4 linked regions of the Struthio camelus genome follow. The main gene of each other region encodes a partner of the protein of the gene in region 4 in a complex. Links are inferred from orthologs where the notes say so. Each region holds a gene or a part of one and is shown on either strand. Other genes may lie near its edges.

Region 1 (7,694 bases), on a different chromosome or scaffold from region 4:
GCTACACTGGTCGAATTGGCTCACTCCATCTCTCTCTTTGCAGCCTGGCTTTGGGCTGGCTGCTGGAAGAGCCCATTTATCCCACGGGCCCTGTTTCTTTTCCCGGAAAACAGGAAAAAGCTCTTCACCTAAGAAATGAAGACAATGTGGGGACATCGCAGCACCCTGTCCAGCTGCACCAACCTACAGGTACCTCCGACCACAGTGCGGGAGGAGAAAGGTGCAGGAGGCACCCGGCGGCTGCGCTGTGTTTGCGTTGCAATCCCACGTCCCGTACGCCATCACTTTTGCTCACGTATATATTCCCCCCGGCACATACATGCGACACTGGTATCCCAAAATACTCCTGTAACAGTATCTGAATGAGGATGAGTAAATAAGGGAATGGGGGGGCTGTTGGCGGAGGAGGGCACGCACCAAGGTCACGGGGCGCCCGAGGGACTTGTAGCACCCAGGGCCAAGGCGAGGCGACAGAGGGGAGATGGGGCTGTGCATCAAATCACTGAGCAAAGGGATTTAATCTTGTTTTTTTCCCCCTTTTCGCAGTGACCGCCACTGCCCTCCCAGCAGTCTCCGGGCGATTTAGTGCTGGGGAGGCCAGCAGCAGGACCAAAATCACTGAAGCAAAGCCAAATCGCCGCCGCGATGAATGAATGCCTTTTCACTAGGCTTGGATGAGGTTTAACAGGAATAATTAGCGCGGATGCATTTTCTGGCAGGGCTGCGGAGCCGCGCAGCTGCGAGCAGCCCCGGCCGCACTGATTGCAAACACAGCTCCCCTGGTCTCGTGCCGGAGGTCAACGCCGCGCTGCATTTTGCAGCGTTTCCTTGCCCGTCGCCTTCGCGATGGCCAGAAGCAGAGCGTGGGTGTTTTCCCTGCCCCGATTCGCAGGCATTTCGTGGAATCTGTAGGCATTTCGTGGACTCATCAAAATCCTCGCTCCGTATCAGGAACCGCTCGAGACGCTGGGAAGCGAATAACCTGGCGCGGCTTTCCCTCCTCCGGGAGCACGGTTCAAATCCTCAGCAACCACAAGAAAACAGCCAGAAACTTCTGACCCTGCGAGGCCCCGGCCGGCCGGGAGCAGGCGGCGCGAGGGCCGCTCACCCGCGCTACGTTGCGCGTCTCAGGGCCGCGGCGTCCTTGCCTCGGCCGGCACCCGCCGGCTCTGCAAACCCCGACGCTCGTTTCGACCCGCCGGCAACCCAACGCCTTGGCCCCGTGCCTCAGTTTCCCCTTCTGCCCCTCAATCAGAAACAGCCCCGGGGCCAAAAGCCCTCTGCGAAGCAGCGAGGCGTCACAGGAGTTTTGGAAGCAGCGGCCGGGAATGAATTTGAGTCGACCGTGGTGGAACAATCCCCCCTAATATATTGGGAAAGACGCAAACACGTGGAATATTTCAAATTTGTTTTCTCCGCGAAAAGTATTTTTTGAAGTTTTGGCTTAATAGGGTGTCAGAACTCGACCTAAGCTGGAAAGGGGAGTTTGGATGAAAGATAGCATAACCTGCAAAAAAAAATCTCATCATCTCATCTCGTGATTTGTATTTCAGCTCAGATGACATGTAGCAGTTGGACCCAAATGATTTTTTCCGGAAATTCCTCTTTGCTCCTCCCGAGAAACCCCCAAACTCCTCAGCTCTGATTTACATGAACCCGAAGCAATCTCCCCTCCTGGCCTTTGCTTTCAACGGCAGCTGAAAACCAAAAACCCCTCCGGGTCACCCCAACCTGGCTGCAGCACCGGGACACCCTGGTATGTCGATCCCGACGCCGGCATTAGGGGAGGCTCAACCCCCCCGAAGCAGCGGGGATGCAAAAACAAAAAAAACCCAGGGCATCGTGATCCCTTAGGCCTGCTGGGGACGAAGAAGAGCGCTGCGTTGCTTTTTTGCATCATTTACAGGAGAAACGGGACTTTGCGTCCGCCCGCTAGCGAGCAACGGAGGAAGCGACGGTTGCGCCGCTGAAGGAGCGAGCCGGGACACCGGAGCGCGATCTGCGAGCAGCTAACGGCGGGACCGTTTACTCCTGCGTCTCGCTGCAAGGCGGCCAAAGGACAAGGTTTTCTTTGTGTGCCCGCAAAGGAGGAAGAGGAACTCGGAGTGTGCCAAACGCGTTTTGCAATAACCCAATAAGAAAACCGGAGCGGAGAGAGAAAGAAGATGCTTCGACCCTGCAAACCTCCGCTGCAGCAACGCCGCCCCACTCGCAGCTCCCTGGGAACGGAGGCTTTTTCGGGGCTAGTGGCCAAAGCAATGATTCAACAGGTTCGGAGACGGGGGTCTCGCTGGTGCGAAGCGAAGCGCGCCAGAGGTGGCGAACGCACGGTGGAGTGAAAGAGGGAGGCGGAGGTGCGTGCCGGAAATCACGGATAAGCCGCCAGCTGAGTGCCGCCAGCGAAGCTGCGTGGCCGGGGAAGGGTTGCGAATTAGGGAGCAAGCAAGCAACCCATGCGGGGGGAAAAAAGAGGAGCAGAGGGAGGCCGGGCTGAGGTCACGGCAGCAGGTCCGCGCTTGCTTGATCGAAGCGCTCCCACCGCCCCGTCGCTTGGGTGGGTTTTTAGGGTTCGGGGAGTTTTTGGCATCGCCGTTCAATCCCTGAGCTGGGCGAAACGGAGTTTAACTGGCTTCCCCCGGGCAGCAGTGCCCGACTCCGGATGCGGCGGGGACGCAAGCGGCGCTGCCGGGGGGTCCGAAGGGTGCAGGGGAGCAGCCCGGGGGTCTCGCACCTCTGCTCTGGAGGGGATTGTGTATGTCTGTGTGTGTGTGTGTGTGTGTGTGTTGCACGCTGCCACCCCCCGCTTTGCACGCTCCTACCCTGCGGCCGCCGCACGCTCCCGCCCCGCCGCACGCTCTCGCTCACCGTGCCGAGCCGATCCGGGCCGAGCCGAGCCGATGGCCCCGTTGCGGCGGGCGGCGGCAGCGCCGTGCCCGGGGCTCGGGTCCCCTCGCCGGGCCGGACCGCAGCCCGCGGCCGCCGCCGTCTCGCCGCGTGGGAGCCGGGAGGCGGGTCGGGGCCGGGCGTGCGGCCGCACCGCCCCCTCCGGGCACGGGGCGGACCGTCTTCCTCCCCCTCCTCACCCCCCCCCCCCCAAATCTCGGTCCGGGATCTGCCCCCGACGGGCACCCGCGGTCGGGGCCGGGATTGGGATCTGCACCCCCTCCCACCCCCCGGCGCCAGGACCGGCACTGGGACCGGGGATGGGATCGGGGCCAGGACCTGGACCGGGATCGGGACCTTCCCTCCCACCCCCCAACCCCCGGGGCCGGGGCCGGGATCGGGCACAGGACCTGGACCGGGATCGGGACCTTCCCCCCTCCGGGGCTGGGACCGGGGATGGGATCAGGGTCAGGATCGGGATCGGGACCTGACCACCCCCTCGGGGCTGGGATCGGGGTCGGCACCGGGGATGGGATCGGGGCTGGGATCGAGACCTGACCGCTCCCCCCGGGGCTGGGATTGGGGTCGGGACTGGGGATGGGATCGGGGCTGGGATCGGGGTTGGGATCGAGACCTGACCGCTCCCCCCGGGGCTGGGATCGGGGTCGGGACCGGGATCGGGATCGGGGCTGGGATCGGGACCTGATCACCCCCACGGGGGCTGGGACCGAAGCCAGGACTGGGGATGGGATCGGGGTTGGGATTGGGACCTGCCCCCCCCCCCTCCACCCGGGGCTAGGATCGGGATCTGACCACCCCCCCGGGGATGGGATCGAGGGCACGACCAGGGATGGGATCAGGGCCAGGACCGGGATCGGGATCAGGGCTGGGATCGAGGACAGGACCTGGGCCGGGATCGGGGCTGGGATCGGGACCTGGTCACCCCCATGGGGGCCAGGACCGGGACTGGGATTGGGGCTGGGATCGGGATTGGGATCGAGACCTGACCGCTCCCCCCCGGGGCTGGGATCGGGGCCAGGACCAGGGCTGAGATTGGGGCCAGGACTGGGACCGGGATCGGGGCTGGGATCGGGACCTGATCACCCCCACGGGGGCTGGGACCAGGGCCAGGACTGGGGTTGGGATCGGGGTTGAGATTAGGACCTGTCCCCCTCCCCCATCTGGGACTGGGATCGGGATCTGGCTGCCCCCACCGGAGCCGGGATCGGGGCTAGGACTGGGGCTGGGATTGCGGCTGGGATCAGAGCTGGGATTGGGACCTGACTGCCCCCACCGGGGCTGGGATCGGGGCCAGGACCGGGGCTGGGATCGGGACCTGATCACCTCCTTGGGGGCCAGGATCGGGGCCAGGACTGGGGCTGGATCGCGGCTGGGATCAGGACCAGACCACCCCCTCCCTCCCCCTGAGACCAGGATTGGGGTCCAGACCAGGACCTGCCTGCACCCTGGGGCCGGGATTGGGACGTGCCGACCCCTTCGGGGCTGGGATCAGGGCCAGGATCGGGGCCAGGACCAGGATCTGCTCATCTCCCCGAGGCAGGTCCCAGTCACATCCAACCCCCGTGGGGCCACGGTAGCCTCCAGCTCCCCAGGAAGCCGCACACCCAGGGTGGCCCTGGCGCCCTCCCCCTGCACCCCAGGGTGCCCCGAGCAGAGCTCCCCAACCCCTTGCCCGGGGCGAGATCCTGGGGCGCAGTGGTGGAAAGGGGAGGAAAGGGGGTCCCAGGACTCCAGGAGGGTAGAACCAGAACCGGAGCCAGAGCAAGTGGCTCCGCTGGTGGAAAAATGCCTCCAGACTGGCCGGATGAGAAGTTAGATGATAACAGGACTTTCAGGCCATTTGGGCTTCACTTCTGCCCCTCTTGCTCATTTTCCTGAAAACCACGTGCTAGAGAAGAGCTTCGCGATGCGGGTACCACGGCATCCCTTGAGAGATGCCACGCTTGGAAAGGGGATGTGCTGCTCCCTAATGCAAAGGCGATGCTCTCGCCTTGCTTCCTGGGACGCAGCCTGGCCAGCGGGAGCCCGCTCGGCTCGCCGGGACAGAGCTGCATCTCCTCGGCTCCTGCAGGTCCAGCATCCCAGCGTTCGGACTTTACGTCCAGGGAAGAGATGACGGGGCGAGGGGGATGCGCCAGAGGCCCGTAAGACCTGCCGCCTTTCCTCCGGGGACCGGCTGGGCCACCATCTATCGTCATCCGCGAGCGCAAAGCGGCAGCCGGCTAAGGAGGCGTTCGCGGAGGCTCTGGCCGCTTGGCACGGGCTGCCGAAGGCCTGACGACGAACCTCCGTGCCAGCGCGAAACTGCCTGTTTCCTTCTTCTGATGTAATTTGTTTGCAGAGGGAAAACAATACATCATGTCGCAGCTATTTGGGCCTGATAAGGGAGGCAGGACGGGCTCTGCGCCGAGGCAGGGCGATGCAGAGCTCTTCGGATGGGCCTCGGACCAGCCGGGAGGGTGGCAAAGCACCCAGTGTAATTAAGCCTTTGATTAAAGCCGGCGGCTTCTCCCCCTCTGATCCTCTGAGCAGCTTTGCTGGGGGCGGGGGGGGAAGAGCAAAACGGCTTAAAAAACAGAGGCGGGCGGCTTTTTCGCGTCGAGGGGCGATTAAGCGCGGACAGGGCTGACCGAGGGGTTTGCAACAACCGAGAGCAGATGTTTTCCTAAAACCTTGGTCGGAGCGGGAACCGCGCGGGGAAATGATGCCCGTGGAGCTCGCGCCGCGGCGGGGGCTTCCAGCTGATGGATCAGCGCCCCAGCAACCTTCCCGCCAGCCCCGGTTTCCCCCCCTGGTTTGTACCAGCTGCGGGGAAAAACCTTTTCTTCCACCAGTTTTGCGTTTTCCTCCTTTTCACCACTCGACCAGGTGGAAGAGAGACGGGAGGCCGCGGGGTTATTCGTGCACGCGCCTGCGCATCGTGTCCTGCTTAACCCACCTCGGGCTTTTCCATCCTTCTTGACCCGGGAGGTTTTTAGCAGGTGACCCAACCGGAGGGGGACCCCAAAATCTGCATTCGCCATCTCAGGCCTCTTCCAAAGCAGCTCCAACCACGCGAATAAGAGGTTTCGAATCCAGCTGGAGAGAAAGGAATGATTTATCCAGCGGCGGTCATCCGTGCCGGGAACGCTACCCGTCCGAGAGCCGGAGCTGGAAACCGGCCCCTCGTTGCTTTTAACGTCTCCGTTTTTCCAGCCTTTGGCAGCGATACAGGTTTCTAAGATGCTCCGAAAACATTTCCCCTGTTGTCTAGCGGGGAGGAACGCGATCGCGCGCGGGGTTACGGGAACGGCAGCGACGGGAAGGACGGGGCTGCCGGCAGCCGCGGGAGCGCTTCCGGCCGCAGCCTCGAGCGCGTTTCCCAGGCATTTCCCAGGCTCCAGCGTTTGGGGAAGATGCGAGCCGGGAGCTGCTCTGCTGCGAGCCTCAGAGCTGCGGCCCCGGGTCGCGGTGCAAAAAGGTCTTTGCCGCTATGCTTTTGTATGGTTTTTTTTTTTTTCCCCCTTCAGCAGCAGCTGGGGCTTTTTGGTAGCCCAATTTTTGCTTCCTCCCCACGGAGGGCATGTAAAACCCCGGTCTCCACCGGCGACCTCCCAGGCTGCAGAAGCGGCCGCCGCGGCCCCGGGGCACAAGCGGCCCGTTGTGGCCGGCGAGCTCGGGTTCGCCAAGGTTTTAAATAAACACGGCGCGCCGGGAAAGGGGGGTTAAAATTAACCCGTCAGCCAGGCCTACGTGTGCTGCGGGCAAGGGCAGGGCCGGTTACGGGCAGCGCGCGCCGCGGCCGAGCCCGCGCCGGGGGGATAGCGGATGGCACGGGGGTCCCCGTCTCACGCCGGGGTGTGGGGGGGTAACAGCCTCTCTCTCTTTTTTAGCATTTTTTTTTTTTTCCTGCACCGGCCGCCCTGATCTGCTGGAGCGGGTTACGCATCCCGGCGGGGATTTCTCTCCCTGGGTGGCAGGTAGACGCTTCCGCGGGGCTGCACGGCTCCGCCACGCGCATTTCGGGGGGAATTGGGTGGGAATTCGGTGCCCGCGCGAGACGGGTGCTCCCTGCGCCGCCGCACGCTCCCGGGAAGCGGTCCGGCGCAGGGGATGCTCGCGGCTCGGCGGGAGGCTGGGGTGCCCCCCCCCAACCCTCCGGCTTTCTTAGGAACGGAGATGCTGAGATTTCCGCCCAGCGTCACGGCGCCAGCGCAGGGGTGCTCAGCCAGCCTTCAAGCCTCCGGCCTGAAACCAAATCCCCCTAAAAATAGCGGCGCGAGACAACCCATCCGACACAACGAGCCGAGCCCAAAATAGAGAGGAGGTGGCCGTGAAAAAAGCTCATTCCTGTATTTGCAGAAACGGCGAAGAGCCGGACCGGGCTGGATTGAAGACCCGCTGCCGGGCCGCGGAGCAGGGACACGGCTCCCTCGCTCGCCCATCGGCGTCCGGGCGGCAGGAGCCCCGTTGCCCTCCCACCCCCAAATCCCTCTTTTGGATCTGTTCCTCCCAAAGGACACAGCTAGACGTGATCGGTAGAGATGCTGAGGAGCGAGTTTCCATCAGCGGTGGCGGAAAAGCCGTTTTACGGCAGCTCTCCGAGCCGGTTTTCCTGCTCTCGCGGGGACTCGCGCAGCGTCCCACCCTCCAATCCCTTTGTTTCCCCCCAAAAATAGCTATTCTCAGTAAGGGGCTTTTGAATTCGCTTCCTTCCCGTCTTGCTCCAAAATAACCTTTCGCTCCTCGGGGAGATCTGCACTGACACGGCCCGGCGGCGGGAGGGCGGATGGACGTGCAGCCCCCGGACG
Region 2 (7,513 bases), on a different chromosome or scaffold from region 4:
GCAATATGCTCTAGGTGACCTTGCTTGAGCAGGGAGGTTGGACTAGATGATCTCCAGAGGTCCCTTCCAACCTAAAGGATTCTGTGATTCTGTTTGTTAGTACAAACCTGCACCAGTTACTAGTTACACTCATAGATAATTGCTCTTCAATAAATGTGATCAGGTATACTTACAAAAACCTCCCACCCTCAAGAGAATGCAGGCTGCTTCCAGAACAGTTTGGCAAGAATTGAGAATTCCACTTCCATTTTGTATTTTTACTACTTTTTCTGCAGTTCTCCAAAGCTTTACAGACCCTTTGAGACTCCCTGTTCATTTCTGAGCAGGTGGAGCCACTAGATAGCTGTCATCTTTCCCAGATGCTGAAAGTTCCCTGTGTATTTGTCAAGCTCATCTTCCTAAACAAATGTCCAAAACATTCCCTATAAAGCTTAGCCATAGCTAGCATAACTGCATCGCCAGAGAGCATGCTGTGGTGCTTTAGTGGCCAATCTTTACTATATTCTTTTTTTTCATTGTCTCTAGTATGTACTTAGTTTCATAGAGACTCACTGGCTGCTGCTGCAGTAACTCCAGGAATCAGCAAGGTTGCTCTGTATTGATATTCCTCAGTTTCTCTTCTTTAGAAAATCCCCTGGATAACCCAAAACCATTCTCGTGCACTGCTTGGTAAGTTCAGGTAGGCACAAGCCTTTTGCACATCAAGCAGGAAACAAGCTTGGCAAAACGGGTATATACATAGATCACAGAATGAAAAAGCAGCTCTTCAAAATAAAAGATCAGTACTGGAGGATGATTTGAGTCAGAATTTTTACCAGGGCATTTTCAGTGAAAGAGTCATTGTCTGAAATAGTGTTTGGATTGTTCTATGTAAACGCTTGTTTCAAGATTTTAAGTGATTCATTTTGCAAGGTGGGTTTCCCTTGTGCCTTTTATGCACAGAAGGAATATGTGCCATATGTTGTATCCATCCATTAAGATAGGCTTCATGCACATTACTGGACAATGCATTATTTTTTCTGAAACACAATCAAACCAAAGTAAAAGCTCAAATGATTCTTCTGCATGGATTATTATCAGGCTACCCACAGATCACAGAAGGATTGAGGTTGGAAGGGACCTTTAGAGATCATCTAGTCCAACCCCCCTGCTCAAGCAGGGTCACCTAGAGCACATTGCCCAGATTGTGTCCACACACTTTTGAATATCTCCAGGGATGGAGGCTCCACAACCTCTCTGGGCAACCTGTTCCAAGTGCTCAGTCACCCTCAGAGTAAAAAAGTGGTTCAGACGGAACTTCCTGTGGTTCAGTTTGTGCCAGTTGCCTCTTGTCCTGTCACTGGGCACCACTGAGAAGAGTCTGGCCCCATCCTCTTGACACCCTCCCTTCAGATACTTATACACATTGATCAGATTCCCCCTCAGTCTTGTCTTCTCCAGGCTAAACAGTCCCAGCTCTGTCAGCCTCTCCTCATGTGAGGAAAGTGTAATTCTGTGCTGTTCAATATGCTTTCTTTAAGCAACTCTGTTGCCTTCTCCTCCAAGGTTTGCCTCTCGTTAACCTCTTTTAGCTTCAGTACAGCATCAGAACCGTGCTGTCTTTTACCTTTTCTTTTATTCTGACAATCTGGCAAGCAACATAACCCTGCCATACTGTAAGCAGGGAGGCAGAGCTTTCTTTTACGTTGTGGCACCTACCTGCATTAAGTATTGGCTCCACACATTCCCATTTGCTCTTGTCCAGGCTGCCTGAAGGGTTTCAAATCTCATTGCCCAGGAAGATAGACAGATTATCTGCCTGCTCCAGTGTGCAGCCTGGCAGGGAGCAGCTTGCTTCACTCAAGTGGGGGCCTCTGCTCCCTGGAGCATCAAGATCTGCCACAGAAATCCTGTGTGCCAGCCCCTCCCTCCTGCTGTAAGGAGGCAGAACAAGCTGGCAGAGGGAAAGTTGTGTATTTGCATAATTCCATAGTAAACCAGGTCTTTTCAGGTACTCAGCTCACACCAGTCATACTTCCTTTGTGTGTATCTATTCATACAGCTGCCCACATCATTTTTTTTTTCTGAAAAATTTGGCCAGTTACATTTAGATAGGCTAGTTAAATTGTAAGTATTTTGTTTTGTTAGTTTTAATGACTCAATGACTTTAATGACTCAAGACTTCCTTTTCTGGGCTTCGCTTACCAGATCTATGGAACTAGTAGCACAAACTCCCTTTGTTTCAAATATTTTCTGTAGTGGGCACTGTCAGAGACATACTGCTGGGCTAGTTGGACCTTAGGCCTGACAGAAGGACTGCTTGTTTAGAATGCTATGGCTGAGGTTTATTACCACCCAGTTCCACTTACCCCTGGAATGAAAATGATAACAAATCTCCAAACACAGTTTCAGCTCTCACTGCATTAACTAACACTATACCATACCAGAAAAAAAATAATTCCCCAAACTCAGCGCCATTTCATTCACTTTGTTTCACCCTCAGCAATAAACTATGCTTATTCAGTGTTCCATGGATTGCTTAAATTACTTCCTAGCACAATTAGCCCATATTATGTCTGTCCCAGGCTGGGTGGACAAACGTAACTTTGTTCATAACTTGCCTTACCCCTTTTTTCCCCAGTCTTCAGGGTCAACATTCTCTAGAGTCCGCCACAAGCAACTGTACAGCGGTAGACTTCAGCACCAGCTTCCACTGGGAAGTTAGTGACTATTACAAAATAGCAGTCTAAATGCTACTAATATTTATCCTATTATATTTAATAAATAAATTAGTATTTATATACTTAGGTTAGCCAAATTTCTGGGAAGTCATACCTCTGAAATTAACCTTAAGCACACTTAACATGCACTTTCACCAGTTTTAGCTGGAAAACTTACAGTGGTTTGTGTTGCACTTTCTCTTTGGTTTGCTGTTTTACCAAGGGCCTCTTAGTCGCAGAACCACAGAGTACACAAAAAACCTTTTTCCTCTAAAATCCAACTTCCTGACCTAGGGCTGCAGAGAAGAAAAACATGAAAGAAAGAAGGCAAAGCACCCAAAACAGTACTCAGAACATTCAGAGAACTAAAAGACCTCCAAATACATGAAAGCACACAACCGAACTGCATGTTTTGACTGCTGCTGCCTGAGCAGCAGCTTTCCAGCACATGACACAACACTGTGAGCTTCTGCTTGGTGTCACTTTGGTTTGGAAGTGCTCAGTTGGTCCTGCCCTGGGCATGGGGCATGTGGGAAGCAGCTCTCACACTTCCTGGGGTGGCTCTGTTCCTGGAGAAGCTGGGCTGGCCGCTCATACACACATGCTCCGTGGGGTGAGCCCAAGAAGGCCCAGGAGGGCCATGCATCCTGCCCCGGGCCATGCCCTCAGCCAGAGCCATTAGCACCCGGGCCAGCGCAAGCGGCCCCTGCAGCCAGGGCAGCCACGCCAGCACGCGGTACGGCTTCCGGTGGCCGCCTGCTCCATTCTGCCCATTTCCAACATGGCTGCTTTTCCGCGCCACTCTAGTATCCGAGAGAAAGGGAAGTCGCCAGTATTCGGGATGGCGCTCGACACGACTTCATCAGCCCGAATCAAGTATGGCCGCGCGAAACCCTGTGGCAACTGCCAGGATCCAAGATGGCACCCATCCGTATTGCTTTGTCAGGAACGGTTTCGATATGGCCACCTCCCCTCCCCTACTCCAGCGTTTTGCTGCCACGATCCATGATGCCTTCCGCCACGCCTTTAGCGCGGCCTGATTGCAATATGGCCACACGCGCGCGCCCTTGGCAACGTCTGCCCTCAGTAAACATGGCGGTCGGAAGCGCCCCCGGCTATTAGGCTCCCCACCCGCCGTTACCTGCTGAGGTAGTTGGGGTTAATATCTGAGATGGCGGCGGCTGAGCTGGAGTATGAGTCTGTTCTGTGTGTGAAGCCTGATGTCAACGTGTACCGCATCCCGCCGCGCACCTCCAACCGCGGATACAGGTAAGGGGGGTCTGTGCTGTGCCAGGGAGCCGGGGCCGAGGTTGAGGCCGGGCGATCTGTGTTTGGGCAGGGGGCTGTGCGCTGTGCCGCGCCCCGCCGCGCTCCGCGCCGCTCCGCCGTGGCGTCATGGGGAGCACGGCTGCGCTCCGGGGCTCCCTGAGGCGGCACTGGCTGCAGGGCCGCCCTTCAGCCCCTTTCTGCGCTGCCTGAGGAGCTGGAGGGCGGCCCTGGAGCAGGTAGGCGCCTCGCTGAGGTGGGGAGAGGTGTCCTCTCCGGGGGCCGGTGGCTGGAGTAGGTGCCAGTGCCTGTGCGGCAGCGGCCCGCTTGCGCCGCGGGATGCCAGCGCCTCTTGACGGTGCCAGAACTGGGGTGGGAGAAGCGTTGCTGAGGGAAGGTGCGGGCTCCTTGTGCTCTCGCAGAGTGAAAAGGTAGTGCAGTCATGCACTGAGTTGCTATCGTTCGTTTTTGTCTTGTAACCGGGGTCTGAGCTGTGGCCTTGGGCCTCTCGGTTTTGCTTTGTGATGCCCATGCCCTGCATTGTGCTGGGCTTGCAGCCTGGATCAAGGGAGAAGTAAATTTGTAAAAATGACCTCTTCTTATTTCACGAATCTGTTCTTGTGTGTGCTCTGAGTCATACCATAGCTGCTTTCTCTGGTGGTAGATGTATTTCTTTCTCTCCCTCCCTCCCTCCCCCCACCCCACGTTGTCCCTGCAGAGCTGGTACTGCTCTGGCAGAGTGTGCTGGCTCAGGCGCTCCTGCAGAATTGCCCAGAGTCAGCACAGTCTGTTCTGTGTGAATAAACAGAGGCTTGAGAGGCGGAGGCTTCTATGTGCTAATACCTGCTGAACTGTCTGCACTCTCTTTGGCATTAAGCAAGTCAAGTAGGCTTTCTGAAGCCTTACGCACTTGCAGTTTCACAAACTTCAGCTGCAGATGATGTACTTGATGTTTCTGATAAACCTGTATCAAGTCTGATGTATATTCTCTGTGCCTAAAACCAAGAGTGTTCTCCTCTGTGCTGTAGGGGAATGGGGAGTCTCCTTAGTTAATCTCACACAGGACATGAAGATGTAAATCACTTGCTGTGCTTTTTCTAGTCAGAAATAACTTCTGCCCTCAATTATATTTGCTCTGCTCCCCGAGGCACAAACGTGATGTGGTATAACAAAAAGTTAAATTTGGCCCACTGGCTTTTGGAGCAGTGGGGGTGGAAGCCAGAAAAAGCTGATTGTGACTCTGGCGGGGCTAGAAGTTAGTTAGAAATACCTTCTCTGTCTTTAGCCAAAACCAGCAGAACATGACTTTGTGAGCTACTTCCACAGAGTTCTTGGAGTGACTGGTTTATGCTCTGAAACACTAATGGTGTCAGGAGCACTTGCTTTGTCTTGCTGAACTGTTGCTGCTGTCGATGGTATTCCTGGCCACAAATGTTCAGTTCTGAGTGTAGAATGCTGTAGGATTGACTCTTTCCTCCCCTTCCCCCAACGTTTTGTAGCAAAGAGTTTGATGGGCCAAATAAGATTGTGTGTATGCTTGTGTGTGTGGTGCCTTACATAGAGTAAACAAGCTGCCTCTAGTTTTAGAAGTACTCATTATTTTACCCCATTGTTGTAAAAAGTATCAAGTGTCTTTTCAGCATGCTGTAAATTTTTTAGGCCTTCCTGATGCTCACTAGTTGCTTATTAGTCCTTTTTAGGTTTACTATCCCAACTGAGTTCTAGGGTTTCAGTCTCTCCTCTTCTGCAAGTTTATAAAAGTAAAGACAGGGAGTTGATGTTCTCTGGACTGTATCTATTTTCCTTTACCCGAAGGAAAGAAAGGCCATCCTGAGCCTCGTATGTAGACTGGTAGTGACAGAGAGGAGCTGAGACCCTCAGTGAGGAGTTAACCCCACAATGGAGAGGAGCAGACTCCCGAACTTAGTGGGAAGAGAGAGAAGCGGAATGAGGCAACTTCATGTGATGAAGGTTTGGGAGCAGGGGCTTTAGCTGAGCTGGTTGGGCAGAAATGTAAATATTGAGGAACTGTCAGTGAAGAGTTGCTCTTTTTTTCAGGGCTTCTGACTGGAAACTGGACCATCCGGATTGGACAGGGCGACTTCGTGTGACCTCCAAAGGCAAAACCGCATACATAAAACTAGAGGATAAGGTTTCAGGTAAGGGAAGGGGTGTGGCTTGTCAACACTATAACTGTGGTTGCTACTTAGGAGCCTGTGCTTCTAAGCCAGCTCAGAGCTGTGCGTGGCAGCCCCAATCATCTTTTAGAAAGAGGTTGCTCTTGTTAACGCCTGATTCTTTGCCTATAGGGGAGCTTTTTGCTCAGGCTCCCATAGACCAATACCCTGGCATTGCAGTGGAGACGGTGACAGATTCCAGCCGCTATTTTGTCATTCGGATTCAGAATGGAACTGGTGAGTCAAGGAGTCATGCATGGCCCAAGTGCTGGGGGTGGAAGAGAGTTAACCTGCTGAAGCTGAGTGTAGGCCAGGTGGATTGAGATGATGTTGGGAGTGCTGAAAAGGTTGGATAATGTGCCTGGAGGGGTAGGAAGGCAAGATCAGCAGAGGAGGCTTCTCTACATTGCACAGAGTCCAGAGGCTGAGAAGGAGGATTCAGTTTTGGAGAGTGCCACGTGGGATGAAGGGTGCATCCTATAGGCTAGGAGCAAAGAACTGCTGTGTGCCTGTGTTGTCCAGCTGCAGAGCTGTCAAAGGAGGTAGCACAGACTGGTTTAGGAGAAGCAGAAGGATTTGGGAGAGAATGAACACAGGGGCACCTTTGCAAGACATTTCCAATGACCCCTTCTGTCTCACTGTTAGGACGAAGTGCTTTCATTGGCATTGGCTTCGCGGATCGGGGTGATGCATTTGACTTCAACGTCTCTTTGCAGGATCACTTCAAGTGAGTTGGGCTCTTCTGGGATGCTGTTTTTCCTCTGGCCTGTGGAACACAGTGGGTAGCTCTGCACATTCATTTAGCATAGGCTTCTTTGGGATAGTCTTGAAGGCCAGCTGTGGCTCCATCAGGAACACACACTCGTGTGTGCTCTAAACCACCATGCAGGCTAAGGGTCTTGTAGGATCAGATCTGTAAGCCAAAAGCTTGGGTCCTGTGACGCTGCAGGTGTGGTGTTTAACAGCTTTTTGGGCTTCTGTGGTCTGAATTTTTTGCTGTGCTATACTGGGAGCAATGAGGTAGCTAGACTGACAAGGCAAGCTAGTTCTTTGGCAGGAGGGAGGAACTGTGCATTTTTCTGAAGCCCCATTTCCCTTTGCCATAGGGTCTTATGTCTTCCTCTTTCTTTTAGGTGGGTGAAGCAGGAGACTGAGATCTCCAAGGAATCCCAGGAAGCTGACACACGTCCCAAATTAGATTTAGGGTTCAAGGAAGGACAGACCATCAAACTGAACATTGGGGTAAGGAGTCTGGTTGCTCCAGCTTCTTTCTTTGGATTTGCCAGTTGAGATGCTTCATCATTTGTCCCCTCTTTTTATACAGAACATGACAACAAAGAAAGGAGGGGCAGCCAAGCCCCGTGCATCTGG
Region 3 (6,868 bases), on a different chromosome or scaffold from region 4:
AAAGGGTAAGAAGATACGTTGCTTGAAAGCAGGCAGCTCTCCGGTGGGGGAAGACGGTAGCTGCATCGCGTTATAACACGCAGCGCTTCGTTAGGCTTGTGCAACAGCCCGAGTCCGACGACGTAGATGTACTCGGAGGTCTGTATTCTCTTTTCTATCTAATTTAATTACGTGCTTCCTGTGTCATCGAGCTTACCAGTCGCCTGCATTATCAGCCGTTGTTTGGGAACACGAGAAGCATCCTGTGTCGCAACGCCGGGGCCGAGCGCCCGCCCCGCCACCTGCCCCGACTTCTGCGGCGCCGAGCCCACCTCCCGCCCGCGGGAACTAACGCTGCCTCTTGCGCCGCCCAGACGATCCCCTCCGCCTTTCGTTCCCGCCGGCCACGCTGGGGCTGGCAGCCGGCTCACGCGAGCACCTGCAACGAGGGAGCCGCGTCGGCAGCTGGCGTTTCCCAGCGCGGCCCTGTCGTTCGCAGCGGGAACCAGCTCTCACCCAGGCAAACCGCGAATAAAAGTTTCCACCCCCCCAAAGTGTATAAATGAACTAGGTAGCAGGGAAGGAAGGAGGGACCGGGGAGGGGGGACACAGCACCTCTACGCACGTGCCCCAAAAGCGCCATCGAGCACCGTGAGCCGGCAAGGAGGATTCCTGGTAGCATCATTTCAGCTTAAGGCACTTGCGCGTGCGCTCACAAACACCTACCTCGTGGGATTTATGGAGGGACCGACAACATCCCGGTGCTGGGGAGGCACCAGCCCAGCTGCCTCTAAGCGACGGCTGCCTCGAGCTTTAGTGTGGCTCTAGAGGGTTTTATCCTGAAAAGACAGGAAGGAAGGAAGAAGAGCCGCAGCGAACCGGGGGTGGATGCCGGGCACTGGGGACTGCAACAGGGGGAGTTCAAACCTTCAGGAGAAAGACAGAAGCGGGACCGGTCAACTGTATTTCTTTGTTACGTTTCCCTGAAGCTAGCAGCCGGTAAGGACCCGGCTCGGTCACCAACAGCTCACGGCTGCGCTACTTGGGGCGAGCGAGATTGCTGGAAACACACACGAGCATCGCGACCGAGCTCCTCGAGGGGCAGCTGTTATCCCCTCCGCTCATGTGCTTTCTTTGTACAGCACCAGAGCACATCTGTGCGGCGAGAGGTAGCTGACAGCAGGTACCTTTAATCTTCTCTTTCCGTTCCCAGCACCTGCTCTTTAAAGTCACTAAAGAGCAAAAAAAAAAAAAAAAAAAAAAAAAAGGCGAGGGCTAAACATATCCTATCTAAGAGGGAGACGGAGCGGTGCTGATGGCAGATTCTTCCCTCGGATGCACACGAATCATTGTGGCTCAGAGTCAGGCTTAGGGGGAAGAAACTAAGAAGAAAGGGAAAGGGAAAGCAATAAAAGCAGGGAAGGGAATTAGGGCAAAAAAAGGAGAGAGAGAGGCGAGAAAAAGGAGGGGCTCAGAAATTCCACGTTTGCGGGAGAAAAGCAGATTTATTTAATTGCTCTCATTAACTGCACCGCAGGGCAGGCCAAGCGACAAGCGCTCGCGGCCCACCGGGCCGGCTCCAGAGGAGGGATTTCTCTCGGTGCGAGCGGAGCCCGGGCGCCGCTCTCTCCGGCCGGCCGGCCGGCCTCCTCCTCGAGCCCGATGCCGCTCCCTGCGGAGCTGGTCCAGGCTCCGCCAGCTCGGCGTCAGCCTCGCGCCGACTCCCTAGGCTGGCCCCGGCCAGCCGCTGCGTCCTGCTCTCCGGCTCCGCTTCGCGCACGCCGTGGGCCCCCGCGGCGTTTTCGTTGCCCGCCTGACCGTTGGCACTTGCAACGCGTCGGCCTCCGTTTCGGCTGCCGGCTCTCGCCCTGAGCCTCGCTGGCGCCGCTGACTTGCCAGCCTATTCCCGCTGGCTGCTCCCAGCCCAATTTATCCCCCAGGACTGGTCAAGTGGAGACCTCGATGAGAACGGCCTGCTCATGGCCACCTGGAGCCTGGCGCTGCTCTTCATAGACCGAAAACCGGGAGCGTTCAGTGGCTCATCATGGCTGGGCCGTACTCGGTCCATCCCACGCTGCTCTCCTTTCCTCGGCGCTTGCTTGCGCATCGCCTACCTGCTAGATCAGGATCAGGCCTTTTTTTGGCGTGCGCGCGCTGGGCTGACAAAGGAGCGTTTGCTCTCCAGGCGTTCACCGCGCCTCCTGCTCTCTGCCGAGCAGCGAGCGGGCTGCCCGCGCAGGCGGCCCGGCCGCACGCCCGGCTCGGTGGCAGCCGTCCCCCAGCCACGCTCCTGGCAGCGCGGCAAGTGTTTGGTTTTCTTTTTTCCCTTTTTAACGCGGCCCTCGCTGCTGAGCTGCATGCCGATACCCCCCCGAGAAGGTCCTGCAAGACTTCTGCGCGACTTCAGCGAGGTATCCGGTTCAGGGGAACGGGTAACTTGTCTGAGACCAAGAGCGTCGGCACCGTGCCAACCGCCAGCCACTGCACGTGTTTGGCCGGCCCGAGCAACAGGTCCACCTCTGCTCGCCCGCCTGGCTGCTTCCTCCCGCCTCGGACCTGCGGGAGCGAGGCCGAAGCAGGCGCTCCCGTGAGGCTCCAGCCGCCGCTGCCCCCCGGCCAGAGATAAGCACCCACCTTCCTTGGGGGAAGCTCGGCTTCCTCAAAGAAGAACGACTGCTCCTGGAAACGCCTGTGTTTGCTGGGGTGACTGGTTTTGTTTTGGGAGTTTGGAGCGGACGATCCGTCACAGGGAGCAGCAGGGAGTAAATCCACTGGTAGAAAACCCTTCAGATTTGCCTTCCCTATAGTCTCCCAGATCCTACTGATAATATTTCTCTCCCCTCTCCCCCTGCCTAAATGTTTTACCTCCAGGGGGACTGCATCCAAACTGCTGTAACAAAGAGAGACTGAACAGCCACTTAAGAGTTAACACGTTCCTTCCCAGCTGCCTAATGGAGCAAGTCTGCACCAGTCAAACCAGTACACAAAAGGATGAGGCCAGCGTCTGAGAAGGCACAAGTTTCTTCCATCCTTTTCCTCCTCCTCAATTCTTTCAAGAGACTTTCCTCCATCCCCTGGGCACCTGACCCTCAATTTGCACTTTCCTCTCCGTAAAGGAAAACTTGCTCGATTCACACCTTTTTCAGACATTCGGGCACAAAGCAAGGAGTTCTCAGGCTGTTTATTATGTCCTCACAGTTTCTATACAGTAAAGGTAAATAATACTTCACAACGCAGTGACACAACTAAGTGGGAATATCATCGGTGGTCAGACATCTGATACGGCAGAGGTGACTCAAGCAAACGAGCAGGTAATGCAGAGGGAACGTCAAACTGCACCCAAGCCCATGCTTTCACCTGAACGGGAAGGAATCAGACCAAACAAGCTGCTCCTGCTATTGATCTAACAAAATCAGTAGCACCCCGATGCTGCGGAGACACTGACAGCATAAGGACCTAATTAAAACAGAAACACGGCATGGGGAAGATCTTAAAAAGAGTTGGTCTTTCTGTCCAGATACCTGGTGGCTCAGTTCTGAATTAGCTCCACACACTGAAGCCCTCCTAAATCCCTTCTGAGCCACCCACAATCCTGTGTCCCAGGGAACAAAGACATCTTAAACCATACCTTATTCAGGACTGGTGCTTGGCTATTGATTCAGGTCCTCAAAGCCTCCTCCTCCCAGTGGGATACCTTCATCCCACGGAGGATAGAGGTGCCAGACAGCTTAAAGAAAATTCTGAAGTCTATGTGCCTGATGCTTTGCTTGCACAGGAAGAGGAAGAGAGGTTATAGGAAGATGAAATACTTTAATCATGGTTTTTAAGGAAGGGGGATCCACCCCCTAGGGAGGACTCATTACCCGCTCTTTTCATTATCCGTAATCCCACAGAGGCCAGTTCTCTTGCATAAGCAAACACAACATGAAACGCATCCTTCCCTCTTCCCTTTTTAGCTGGTGACTGCATGCGCTGGCAGAGCAAGGCAAAGATGTTTCTCTTAGGGTAACACTGCTGTCTCTGCGCTACACCACAAATGCAAAGTCAAGCAGCTCCTCCTCTGTCCTGTTTTAGACTCTGCCTTGGGGATACAGCACACGGATGAAAGATGGTGGTGTATCTACAGATGTAGCAACTAGTCCTGGCCAGTCTGAGGGTAATTCCCCCTTGTTAGCTCAGGATAACAAGTAAATCACCCCAGGAGCAGCAGGGAGGTACTGGTGTCCAGCGCCAACCTGAATACACGCTGGCTAGATGGAGCTGCACACTGGGAGGTATGGGGCCACCAGACAAGTGATTCCCACCCTGGCTGAGATCCCCGGCCAGCCCTGGTATGCCGAGTCCCTCCAGCAGCAGGCTCTGCCTTTTCTTTTGTACCTTTTTGCAAAGAAGGTTCTGTTTTGGGGGGTAAATAAACCCATCGCCTTTTGCCACCTCCCTCTCATGCACACACTTCCCCGAGACCCCGTTGAGTTTCCTGCACACAGTCTCAAATTAGAGACACAGCCCTCCAGTAAAACCACGAGGAGGCACAGAGCAAAATGACTTACTTTACTAAGCAAATGTAACACACACACACACACGCACGCACCTTTATTTACACTCTATTTTTTTAATCGGAAAGCTAAAAGGAAGCACAGCTGTGACCCTGTCAAAGCAGCTACTGAGTCTGCACCTAAGAATAGAACCCGTGAAACGGAGCACAGCTCCCGTCTCACTCAGCCAGACCCTGCCAGCAAGCAAAGCACGTGGAGCACCAGCGGCGGGGGAAGAGACACAGTGCTGGGGACAAGCCAAGCCTCTGCAAAGGCCAAGGGGTGTGCAGCAGGAGAAAAGCGTTCTGGACTGGCAGCAAAATATACTTTAATTCCAGTTCTAGGATATAATGTTTCAATGCCAGAGAAAGCACAGTACCAAGAAACAAGACAACTGCAGCAGCCGCAGGAATGAAAGCTAATACAGAAATTATGTGAAGCGTTTTCTTCTTATGTAATGGGCAAGGGATAGCTACTAAGAGCTTTATAGCAACAGTAGGAGGTACGTAGGAGAGCGATGGAGAGACCAGAAATAAGTGTCTGGGGTGGTAAAAAGAAACGAGGAGACAAAGGATACATGAGGAGAGCGGGCATGCAGACAGGGAAGCATGGGAGGTCAGGATGTGAGGCCAGGGCTGATACACAGGGAGGACAAGCAGCGCTGGCAGAGAGGAAGGTTTGGCACGGTCAGGAGTGCTTCAAGGAGGGGAGGATAAGGAAGAGGAGGGGAGCGCACAGGGACAGGACCAGGAACGAGAGAGGGGTCTAGAAGGAGAAGCGAGAGGCCAAAGGGAGGGGAGAGTTTGCACTGACAAGTGAGAGGCACTCCAGGACTGGCATGAGGTATGCTTTCCTATTGCTCTGAATGCTGTAAACATTTTGGGTTTGTGTCTATCAGCGAACATTCAGTTCAGTTTGATACATGTGCTCTTAGGGGTAACTGGAAGCCTAGCAGAGTTTTACATCTCTTATTACTAGTCAAACTTATACACAATGCAAAGACAATACTAGCTAATATCTCATTTTATGCCACTTACGCATAATTCTCCTAGCCTAACATGCACATCTACATCCCAGAAAGGCTTCTGTAGTGGGAGACACTAAATAGCACGTACATGAACTCACACGCACTCTCTCTCTCTCACACACACACACCCCTATTTCCCTCCCATGCTCAGACTAGCAGGACTTTGCCCTTCACACTTTCTCAGCATGGAGAGCAGGGACCCATCAGTACATTAACAGGTACAATAAAAGTGACGAGAATAATCCCAAGTGTGACTGACAGGGCAAAGCAGGAATAAGAAATTCAAAGCAGTTTCAGGTTCTGCATCTGCTTCTGGACTTCACAAGTTCTGAAGTTCATAGAACAAGAAAACGCAACTGTAAACCCTTCTTCCCTTTTGCTGTCAAAGGACTTGAGAGCTGACTGGGTACATGTCAGCATACACACAGGATAGAAAGAGCTAAGTGAAATGATTTTTCTCTCTTCTTGTGATAGCACTCTGACATTACTTCAAACGGGCAAATTTTTGGAGGTATGCGCTCGTGGAGGGAGGAAATGGGGCTTGTAAGTTATGAATATCCCTTTCACATCAGTAAGAGATGAATCAAAGATAGGATATTTGTCCTCGATGAGGATTAGTCATCCCTCAGTGCTTTCTGAAGTTTGGCTCACTCATTATTTCCTTAACCAGCCCCTGGTTTAAGGCGAAGAGATAGAAGTTGCCTATTTTAATACCCGTCAGACTGATATTTGGCATAAAAGAAGCAGCTGGTGCCAATTTCTTGTTTTAAAATAAAATACTTTAAATAACTAGGCGGCTTTCCTGCTAGAGAGACAAAATTTAAAAGCAGCAACAATAACAACTGCGATAGACTCATATCCCTCAGACAATAAGTTTCACTCTATTGTATGTTCTAGGATGTTTCTTATAGAGGATATTATCTGGCATCAATACAAGGGGCAAAACACTTATCCTGCATCAGCCTGCATGAATATAGCTCCTGTTGCAATTGCAGCAATATTGTCTCTGAATGTGCCTACTCAAGGCAGTATCCCAGACCAATGTAGGAAAGAAGGGATTTAGTTTTTACACGGTGTGGGCTACTGTGGAGTTTTTTTGATGAATTCTGACCAAAATTGAAAGAATGCCAGCACTGATTCTGGAGATGCCTGCTGAGAGATGTTATCTACTGCGTTTTCTGGAGTCACGCTTTGAACAGGATCAACCTTTCTCGCCATCAGGTAAACCTCGGAACCGTCCTCTCTTCTGAATTTCTTGACCTCATTCCTACACAAAAACATCTTTTTTTGCTGTTTCTTCACCGCCTGGTTGTCTCTGTGACCCTCA
Region 4 (7,959 bases):
TCCCAGTTTCCGACACTACGAGCCCTGCCACCATAGCAGCCGTCTCTGCCGTCTCTGCATTTTTCAAGTCAGGCACAAAACTGCAAGCCTGCCATGCATTACTTTCAGACTGTCTCATGGAAAAAAATACATATGTACAACAGTGGGGTATTATTCAGTCCTCGATATAGCGATTCAGCCCAGCAGGCTGGTTATTATCGTGAGACAATTTGCTTTAAAAAACAAGAGCTCTGCTACCCAGCAGCGCTGGACACTAATCGCCTGTGCCACCGTGGCCGTAGCCTGCCCTTCTCGCCCAAGGACCCCGTGTGCGCGCTGGCGCGCCGCCGCTGTGGTCGCCACAGCCTCTCCCTTCGCCCAAACCCCGCCGTCCGCCATGCCAGCCTGTTTCTGCAGAAGCGGCTCAATAATTTATGGGTGCTCATCCGCAGCAGCGTCCCCCCCCGATCCCCCTCGCACACCCAGCCCCGCGCCGCCGGCCCCACATCAGCGCAGGGCCCCCCCAGGCCCTCTCCGGGTGGAAAGCGCCCGCCGCAGCGGGCGAGCGGGGGCTGAGCGGGAGCCCTTGCGGCACCCGCTGCGGGCGGGCAGAGCGGCGGGGCGCGCCGGGCGCTCGAGGGGAGCCCTCCCGGGCCCGCCGTGCGCCGGGGGGGGGGTAGGAGGGGGGCGGCTTACTCCCCCGGGAGCCCCCGCGGCCAGACGCAACGGCCTGACACAGCAACGGGCAGGGCATGCCCGAGTCACGCCTGCCGGCGTCTCCCGGCGGGGCTGCGGGCCGCCCGCGCAGGGACGCGCAGGGCAGCGGTATGCCCGAGCGGCTCCGAGCCCCTTCGGCTCTTTCCGAGCCCGTTCGGCTCCTCCCGACCGCCTCCGAGCGCTGTCCGGAGGCAGCCGAGCGCGGCGCTCGGCCTCCGCCGGGCGGAGCCGAGGCGCGCCGAAGCGGCAGCCGCGCCGGCGGGTTCGAGTCCCCGCTGGGCGCTGTCCACCACGGCAACCGCCTGAACGCCGCCGCCGCCGCCCCGCCCGGCCCCGCCGCCCGGCCCCGCCGCCGCGCCCGCGCCCTTCCGCCCCTGCTCGGCGACCCGCTGCCCGGATTGCGGCTTGCCACGCACAACCCCTCCCCGCAGCCTCCACACCCACCGCCGGCGCCCCTCGCTCGCTAGGCAACGCCGGCCTCCGCGGGCCCCTCCCAGGCGAGCAGCCCTCCGCAACCATCAGCGTTAGAAAGCAGAAAGGGCTCCGTGTCTTTTCCGAATTAAAAGCGAGGCACTGAATCAATGCACGGGGTTGCTCAGTGATGGCGCCGCCTTGGACCAGCCTGTCGTGCCTGCTTCAGCGGGCGGCTGGGATTGTGATTGTACTTCAATTAAAAGGAGGGGGAAGGAGGAAAACAAAAAAAAAAAAAAAAAGAAAAGCAGAAAGAAAGAAAACCCCAGCACCCCGCCACGGTCGTATCTCCAGCCGTTCATCAGCGTTCCCCTTACTCCAGCCATCGCGACGCCGCGGAAAAGGCCGCGCAGTGGGTTTTCCCAGCGCTGCTGTTTACCGCGCAGCGAGGGCTGAGGAAGCAGGGCGGGGGGTGTGTGCGGGGCCGGGGCCCGGGCCGGGGCCGGGCCCGGCCGCCGCTGCCCCGCGCCGCCGCCGGCCCCCCGGCTCGCAAGCGGCGGCGGGAGGCGAGGCGAGGGGAGCGGGGCGAAGCGCTGCCGCCCGCCGCTGCCTCCTCGGCCCCTTTAATTGGCGCTCGGCAGCCAAACTCGCCGCTCATTAATTGAAAGGCTAAAAGCTCGGGTGAAAGGGGCTTTGGGTGGCAGGGCGCCTTTCCGCGGAATCCGCATTACCGGCGGATTTTGGCGTTCCTTCCATGAACGCCACAGCGGCAGCCGGGCAGCCCCCGCCGGGGGAGCGGGCGTTGAGGCGCGGGGGGGGGGGAGGCGGGGGGCAGGAACCTGCCGTCGAGCGCCCGCGGCGCGTCCGCCGGCTCTGCCCCGCTGCCTCGGCGGCCGCTGCCGCCCGCTCGCCGGCGCTTCAGCACCACGGCGGCCCCGAACAGCAGCGGGGCGGCGGCGGCGGGGCGGGCGCGGGAGCCGCCCGCCGGCCCCTCAGGTAACATGGCGGCCGCGGGCACCCGCTCACCTCGGCGGCCGCCGCCCGGCCCCGCCCCGCCCGGCCCCGCCCCGCGCGCCGCTCCCGCCGTCGCGATCATCACCGTTACGGCCGTTATGATCGCGATCCCCCCCCCCCCTCCCCGGCCCCGCGCGGCGCCGCTTCTTACTTCATCTGCTTCACGATGGTGCTTTTCCCCGACTCCCCGGCCCCTGCGGAGAGAGGAGAAAGGCGGGTGAGCGCGGCGCAGGGCGGGCGGTGAGCGCGGCGCAGGGCGGGGGGCCGCGCGGCGCCGGGCTCACCTAGCAGCAGCAGCTTCACGTCTTTGGCGGCGCTGATCCCGTCCTCCTTGAGGTTCTTCTCGATGGCCTTGCTCCGCTCCAGGGCGGCCCGCTCCTCGGCGCTCAGGGTACATCCCATGGCGGCCCCGAAAATTGGGAAAAAAAAAAAAAACAAAATGGGAGGAAAAAAAAAAAAAAAAGGAAAACGGGCCCCCGCCGCCGCCGCCGCCTCGGCTGGCTCCTCCGCGGGCAGGAGAGGAGGCAGGGGGCAGCCCAAATCCGCCGGCAAAAAGAGCCCCGGCAGGGAAGGGAAAAAAAAAAAGGATTACAAAAAGCTTTCTAAATCTCTGGGCGGCGCGGCGTGTCCTCGGCGGGTCGCGGCTCCTTCCTCCCCTTCTGCCCGCTCCCTAGTGATCAGCGCATCCGACTGGGCACCGGGCAGAGCGGGGCTGCGGGCGCCGTGCGAGCTCTTCCCGGCGGAGAGGAGGAGGCGGAGGAGGAGGAGGGGGAGGAGGAGGAGGAGGAGGAAGAGGGCTCGTGGCGGGGGGTGGGTCCTTCCCTCTCCCGTGCTCGCGGGTTCCGCGTTCTCCCCTGCTGGCGGGCTGCTCCCGTCTGGCGCGGGCGGCGGCGGGTCCCTCACGGGCGGCGGCGGCGGCGGCGGCGGGGCGCGCTCGCGGAGCTCGGCGGATGCTGAGGGAGGGAGGCAGCGGCAGCGGCGGGGGGGGCGCGCCGGGGCTCCGCGCTCCCGCCGGCCTCGCCCGCTCCCGTGACGCGCGCGGCTCGCGCATGCTCGCGGCGGCCCCCGCCTCAGCCTCAGCCCGGTCGCCGCCGCCGCCCCGGCCCGCGCCCCCCCCCCCCCCCCCCGCCCCGAGGCGGCGCGGCCGGCCTTTCTCGCCGCCGCCGCCCCGCGGGTCCCGCCGAGGCCCCTCGCCGGCTCTCCTGAGGGGAAGCGCCGCGGCGGGGTCAGGCTCGGGCTGCGGGCTCCGCCTCGGGCCACCCAGGGCCCGCGGCCCGGGCTCCTGCCCGCCTTGTCCCGGGCCTGAGAGAGGCCGCGACCCGGGCTCCTGCCCCCTTTCCCTGGGGCTAGAGAGCGGCTGCGGCCTGGGCTCCTCTCCCCCTTCTCCCCAGCCAGAGAGCGGCTGCAGCCCAGGCCCCTGCCCCTCTTCCCCAGGCAGAGAGAGGCCGCGACCCAGGCTCCTGTCCTCCTCACCCCAGCAGAGAGAGTTCATGACCTGGGCTCCTCTCCCCCTTCCCCTGGGCAGAGGCCGCAGTCCCAGCTCCTTTCCCCTTGCCCTGGGCTAGGGAGAGGCCGTGACCTGGGCTCCGGTCCCCCCTTCCCCTGGGTCCTCTCCCCCCTGCCATGGTCACTGTGGGCTGGGGTCTGCCCAGCTGCACAGCTCCCGCACCTCTGTCACTGCCCTGGCTCTGCCCAGGTAGTACAGAGATCAGAGGGGCTGGGAGACGTGTGGTTGGATTCATGACACAGCAGTGCATTTTAATAGGCCTTGGGTCGCCCATGGGGCCGGGGCTGCAGTACCGCAGCCCCAGGCGGTGGAGACGCCCCGTTCCCTTGCTGCCCCGCGGGTCCTCCGCGCCGCCGGCCCCTGTGCGCTGGGCTCGCACCTCCGGCGTGCGAGATCTGTGAGGAGCCCTTCTGAAGCGGTCTGATCAGTTAAATTGTTTTGATCAACACTTGTAATACAAATTGTTTACGTGCTTGAGGGAAGCCATCAAGTTTCGCCACCATTGTGGATATGTTTTCCATCAGTCTGATTAACAGGTGGGTTTTTTTTTTTCTTTCTGTGCTGCAGTGCAATCAAAGATTCCTTCTCACCAGATAACCTGCCTTGTTTTCATAACCATTCCACTACATCTAGCAATTATTTAGGAATTCTAGCAAGTTAAAATCCTGCAATTTTCCTGTCTGGTTTTACCATTTCCTAAGGAGGGAAATGGGGAACAGAAAATGTCAATGGGGAAAATTTCTTTAAAATGCTTTTCCAGCACATAGACAAGTCATGATATATTCAGCTTCAATCCATAACATTGATTGATATGTGACAGTCTGACTATAAAAAAATTAGAAAGAAAAGAATGGAGTGTTGAGGACAGCAAGCTAAAAGCCATCAAACATACAGATGAGCAAACTAAGGGACTATTGCCTGATATGAAGAAAGCACCCCCCCCACACACACACATAATAAACAAGAAGTCTGCAAAGGAAGGGCTGATTGTTAGGAAATAGCATGTGAATGGGAAGGTTTGCCCTTGAAATCCACTCCTACCCCCCCCCCCTTAAGAAGAAAGGATACAACAGGCTTAATACCAGCATTACTCTGTTTAGTGAACAGGCCTTCAGGAAATCCCAGGTCCAGACTTCCCCCGGGCTGTCTCACAGCGAGCGGCTCGGGGAAGGGAGTGGTTTGCCATTTCTTATTTTGGGTGGTAGAGATTGTACGCTCACGCACTGTTGATCTTCCAGTTCGGGCCTTGGCCCACTGCCTCTTCTGAGCTCTTCTTACATCCTGCTGTCTTGAGCTGTGCTACTGCTATATCTACAGACCCTTCCTTTAGGGCTAGCAATACCATTTCTAATAGCACTTCCAGTATGTTAAGCACAGCTTCCCTGACACTTTCCTTCCAGGCAAACATCATCATGTCCTCCCAGCACTGCTTCCCATCACACTTTCCTTCCAGAATCTTTTTTTTTTTTTTTTCATTTTCCCTCCCCTGAAAGGAAGGGAAAAAAATATGGCATGTGGTTAAAGGGGTAAAAAAAGAGATAGAAGGTAGAAATGGGGAAAAAAGAGGGCAAAAGGTAACTCATAAATAATGTCAGTGCATTCAGGGAGCAATAGTATTTACTGCTCATTTGTGAGCTAATAGGTGCTGTATATCTGAATTTTGGGTAATTTATATCTGGAAGCTCGTGGGAATGAGATGACAAGTACGTACATGGAAAAGCAAATCTACCACATGTCTTTGGTTGGGAGTAAATGGAGACGTGACTGATTGCAGAGCAGTTCCTGCTCTTTCATACCCATGCAAATCCCTTGTGTAAAATCAATGGGATCAGAATTTCAATTGGTAAGTTTCATTTTGACGGTACTAGCCAGAGGGATTTATGAAAATTGCAGTTAAAAAAAAAGCACAAACAAAAAATCGAGACGCAGCGTCCTCATGAGATGGCTACGTTTTACTTGCCAACTTCTCCACCAATTTGCCAGCATAGGAGTCGTATTGGGATATTCCCCGAAGATTTCACTAAGAGAATTTGTCTTTCGTATCAGCCTCTGGCTACTCGTTATCTGGCAAATTTGTAGCCCGTGCCTCCTGCCACGGAGAAAATGATTTCACTTCTGCGTGACTAGTGGGGGGGTCCACACTAGGCCTTTTCTCCCATGTGCAGTCCCAATCGCTATGTAAGCGTCTGCTAATCTCTTTCTTAAGGGACAACCCAAAATGGGCAGATCTTCTCCTTGGTGTCTCTGCTCTCAGATTCAGGGGAGCAGCTGTGAAAGTGAGCCGTTTCTGAGCCAAGTTTTACAGGTTTTATGTCACTGCTAATTGAGTGGTGGTGATGGGAAAGTTTCATTTGAATTTTTCTTAGAAGGAAATTTCATTTTTTTACAAATTGTGTTTTCATGGCAGATGGATTTCAAGAACCTGAAAAACAGCCTGCCTCTCCTACTAAGCAATGAAAAAATGTAGCAGTCTACTTGGCCTTTGAGGTTAATACGTTGGGTTTTGTGGCTGAAAATAATGTTTCCAGGGACTGGCGGGATTTCTTTTTTAATGAAAAGTAGTTGGTTTCATTAACAACTTCAGAGAAAATTGTCTTATTTTCTTAAATATGCAAGATATTTTTCATGACAGGTAGTTGGGGGGGGACGACTTTTTTCTGGCCGATCCTGCAGTTAAACTATATCACTCAAAGTACACGAAGGACAGTGCTTGTTTCTGCTTGGACTATTATCTTTACAAGCATAAGAACAAACAGCATATTTTAAACGAAAACCCTCATTCTCCTGTATTTGTAATCTGTGCTTTAGCAAGAACAGTCTCCTCTTCACAATCTGCTTTCAACCATTCTGCTAGGAAAAAATAATTAGATAATCATTTCTTTAAGAAGTGAAGGTTGGGATAACGTTAACAGAATTGATGGATGCGTTTGAAACGTTTAGTGCCAAAGTAAAGTTACTAGGTATATTGTCATCTTATGATCTCCGGGGTGTGGTGTTCCTATGGGTGATGAGATATCTCTCATAATTCTCCTGGCTGTGTCCAAATGGTGGGAGAGATGTGCTCTAAAGCACACCTCACCGTCCCAAGTTCCAGACTACCAGCTCAGGGATTTGTAGAGTGCTCTGACTTCCTTCTAACGTAGACAGCTTGTTTTCTTTCTAAGGGAAACATAGCAGACAGTGTGATGCGGGGGAAGACAAGGAGTTTATTGAGACCCAGGACTTAGGAAGCCCTTCTAGGTCTCACAGTCTGGACAAGTCCTTGGGGAGCAGTTGCAAACCCCTGCCACAGATCCTGGCCGTGAAGGCAGCGTGTGTTTTCGGGATTTAGCCAGCACATGCCTCCCAGCTTGCCAGGAGGTAGTAAAACTGGCTGGGAGAACTATCCTCAGTAAAAACGAATTGAGTATCTTTGGCTTAAACTCCCACAGCTACCACAACGCTCCCACCACCAGAAATGAAGTTGCAATAATATTGGGAGGGAGCATCATGCTGGATCCCGTCCCTGGAATTAGTTGCTATTGTTGGTTCGGCATAGCCTCTGTGAACTGGTGGGTGGTGTGAAGAGGGAGAGGGTTAAATCCAGGATACGATGACCATAGGAGGCAAGCTACAATCCTTTTCAACTTGTCTTTCCCCTCCTGCTTCAGGATTGTTCTCTACGATCTGCCATCTTATACTTCTTCAGTAAGGTTTTAATGCACGTTAATGGAACTGCCACCAATCCCATGGAGAGACAGCAATGCATTCTAGCAGATCTCACCATTAGGAAGTTTCCCTTGGATAGTCAGCCTAATTTTTCATTCTTTAAATTGATGTCAATTACCCCCCAGCTAAACCTAGTTATACGGTGGAAGACAGGTTTAAAATACTGCATGATCTCACTAAATTGGAGAAATGGACTGAAATCAATACAATGAGAGGCAACAAGAATGCCCATAAAGGTTAAGTGGTTGATGGAGGCAGGATTAATGAAATGCACAGATACTAGGTCAAATTGCAAATACCCTTACTTCATGCTTACTCCGTACCACACAAATATGTTCTACTTAGGCAAACCAGGTGAGGAGGCACCTCAGGATTTGGCTAGTGACGCAGAAAGTGCAGACCAATATTAAAGAAAGAGACGGGATGGGATGGAGGTAACATGTGGAAAGTTGGACTCAGAACAGGAATGAGCTATTAATACAAGAAAGACAAATGATGTCCGCATAAGAATATGACCTGTAAAATGCCTACAGTCAAGAAGGTAGACAAATCCACAATCTAATCAGGTTTAGAAAGATGCTGAAAAGCCTTTGTTTGTTGTTAGTTTTTCAAGCCTAACCAAA

The links.
Region 1: the proteins of GNAO1 (region 4) and P2RY2 are in contact, whole or in part, in a cryo-EM structure (PDB 9K20), measured with the Homo sapiens proteins. The link is inferred for Struthio camelus from reciprocal best matches to the Homo sapiens genes GNAO1 and P2RY2. Residues at the interface, in NP_066268.1 of Homo sapiens: Ala31, Lys32, Asp33, Val34, Leu195, Gln305, Glu309, Glu318, Ile319, Tyr320, Cys321, His322, Met323, Val334, Phe336, Thr340, Asp341, Ile343, Ile344, Asn347, Leu348, Gly350, Cys351, Gly352, Leu353, Tyr354; in NP_002555.4 of Homo sapiens: Asn66, Ser68, His130, Arg131, Gly134, Val135, Pro138, Leu139, Leu142, Arg143, Met221, Arg224, Leu225, Ala229, Tyr230, Gly231, Thr232, Ser233, Pro237, Ala239, Lys240, Lys242, Ser243, Arg245, Thr246, Leu308.
Region 2: the proteins of GNAO1 (region 4) and C3AR1 are in contact, whole or in part, in a cryo-EM structure (PDB 8I95), measured with the Homo sapiens proteins. The link is inferred for Struthio camelus from reciprocal best matches to the Homo sapiens genes GNAO1 and C3AR1. Residues at the interface, in NP_066268.1 of Homo sapiens: Ile28, Ala31, Lys32, Asp33, Val34, Asn194, Leu195, Ser264, Asn316, Glu318, Tyr320, Asp341, Ile342, Ile343, Ile344, Ala345, Asn347, Leu348, Arg349, Gly350, Cys351, Gly352, Leu353, Tyr354; in NP_001313404.1 of Homo sapiens: Asn57, Asp119, Arg120, Val123, Val124, Pro127, Ile128, Gln131, Asn132, Arg134, Asn135, Tyr356, Ile359, Arg362, Gly366, Arg367, Phe368, Ser371, Lys374, Thr375, Val378, Leu438.
Region 3: the proteins of GNAO1 (region 4) and RGS16 are in contact, whole or in part, in a crystal structure (PDB 3C7K), measured with the Mus musculus proteins. The link is inferred for Struthio camelus from reciprocal best matches to the Homo sapiens genes GNAO1 and RGS16. Residues at the interface, in NP_034438.1 of Mus musculus: Glu64, Asp65, Gln68, Ser75, Arg86, Thr117, Val180, Lys181, Thr182, Thr183, Gly184, Ile185, Val186, Gln205, Arg206, Ser207, Glu208, Lys210, Lys211, His214, His236, Glu237, Asp238, Glu239; in NP_035397.2 of Mus musculus: Glu85, Phe86, Ser87, Glu89, Asn90, Glu124, Ala125, Pro126, Glu128, Val129, Asn130, Asp132, His133, Glu134, Leu161, Lys164, Asp165, Ser166, Arg169, Lys172.

What each region holds. Positions count from the first base shown.
Region 1 is NC_090942.1:222,647,798-222,655,491, reverse strand, and holds the start of P2RY2 (P2Y purinoceptor 2), read right to left. Parts: upstream 3,002-7,694; 5' UTR 2,866-3,001; exon of another isoform or gene 2,820-2,865; intron 2,355-2,819; exon of another isoform or gene 1-2,354. UniProt on the Homo sapiens protein: Receptor for ATP and UTP coupled to G-proteins that activate a phosphatidylinositol-calcium second messenger system. The affinity range is UTP = ATP > ATP-gamma-S >> 2-methylthio-ATP = ADP.
Region 2 is NC_090942.1:88,541,263-88,548,775, reverse strand, and holds the start of C3AR1 (C3a anaphylatoxin chemotactic receptor), read right to left. Parts: upstream 3,014-7,513; 5' UTR 2,878-3,013; intron 1-2,877. Other genes in the region: NECAP1 (adaptin ear-binding coat-associated protein 1), read left to right, coding at 3,871-3,968, 6,024-6,124, 6,275-6,379, 6,788-6,869, 7,276-7,384, 7,467-7,513.
Region 3 is NC_090949.1:7,354,117-7,360,984, forward strand, and holds the start of RGS16 (regulator of G-protein signaling 16), read right to left. Parts: upstream 3,005-6,868; 5' UTR 706-3,004; intron 1-705. UniProt on the Homo sapiens protein: Regulates G protein-coupled receptor signaling cascades. Inhibits signal transduction by increasing the GTPase activity of G protein alpha subunits, thereby driving them into their inactive GDP-bound form.
Region 4 is NC_090951.1:21,791,312-21,799,270, reverse strand, and holds the start of GNAO1 (guanine nucleotide-binding protein G(o) subunit alpha), read right to left. Parts: upstream 3,002-7,959; 5' UTR 2,524-3,001; coding exon 2,406-2,523; intron 2,339-2,405; exon of another isoform or gene 2,316-2,338; coding exon 2,273-2,315; exon of another isoform or gene 2,251-2,272; intron 1-2,250. UniProt on the Homo sapiens protein: Guanine nucleotide-binding proteins (G proteins) function as transducers downstream of G protein-coupled receptors (GPCRs) in numerous signaling cascades.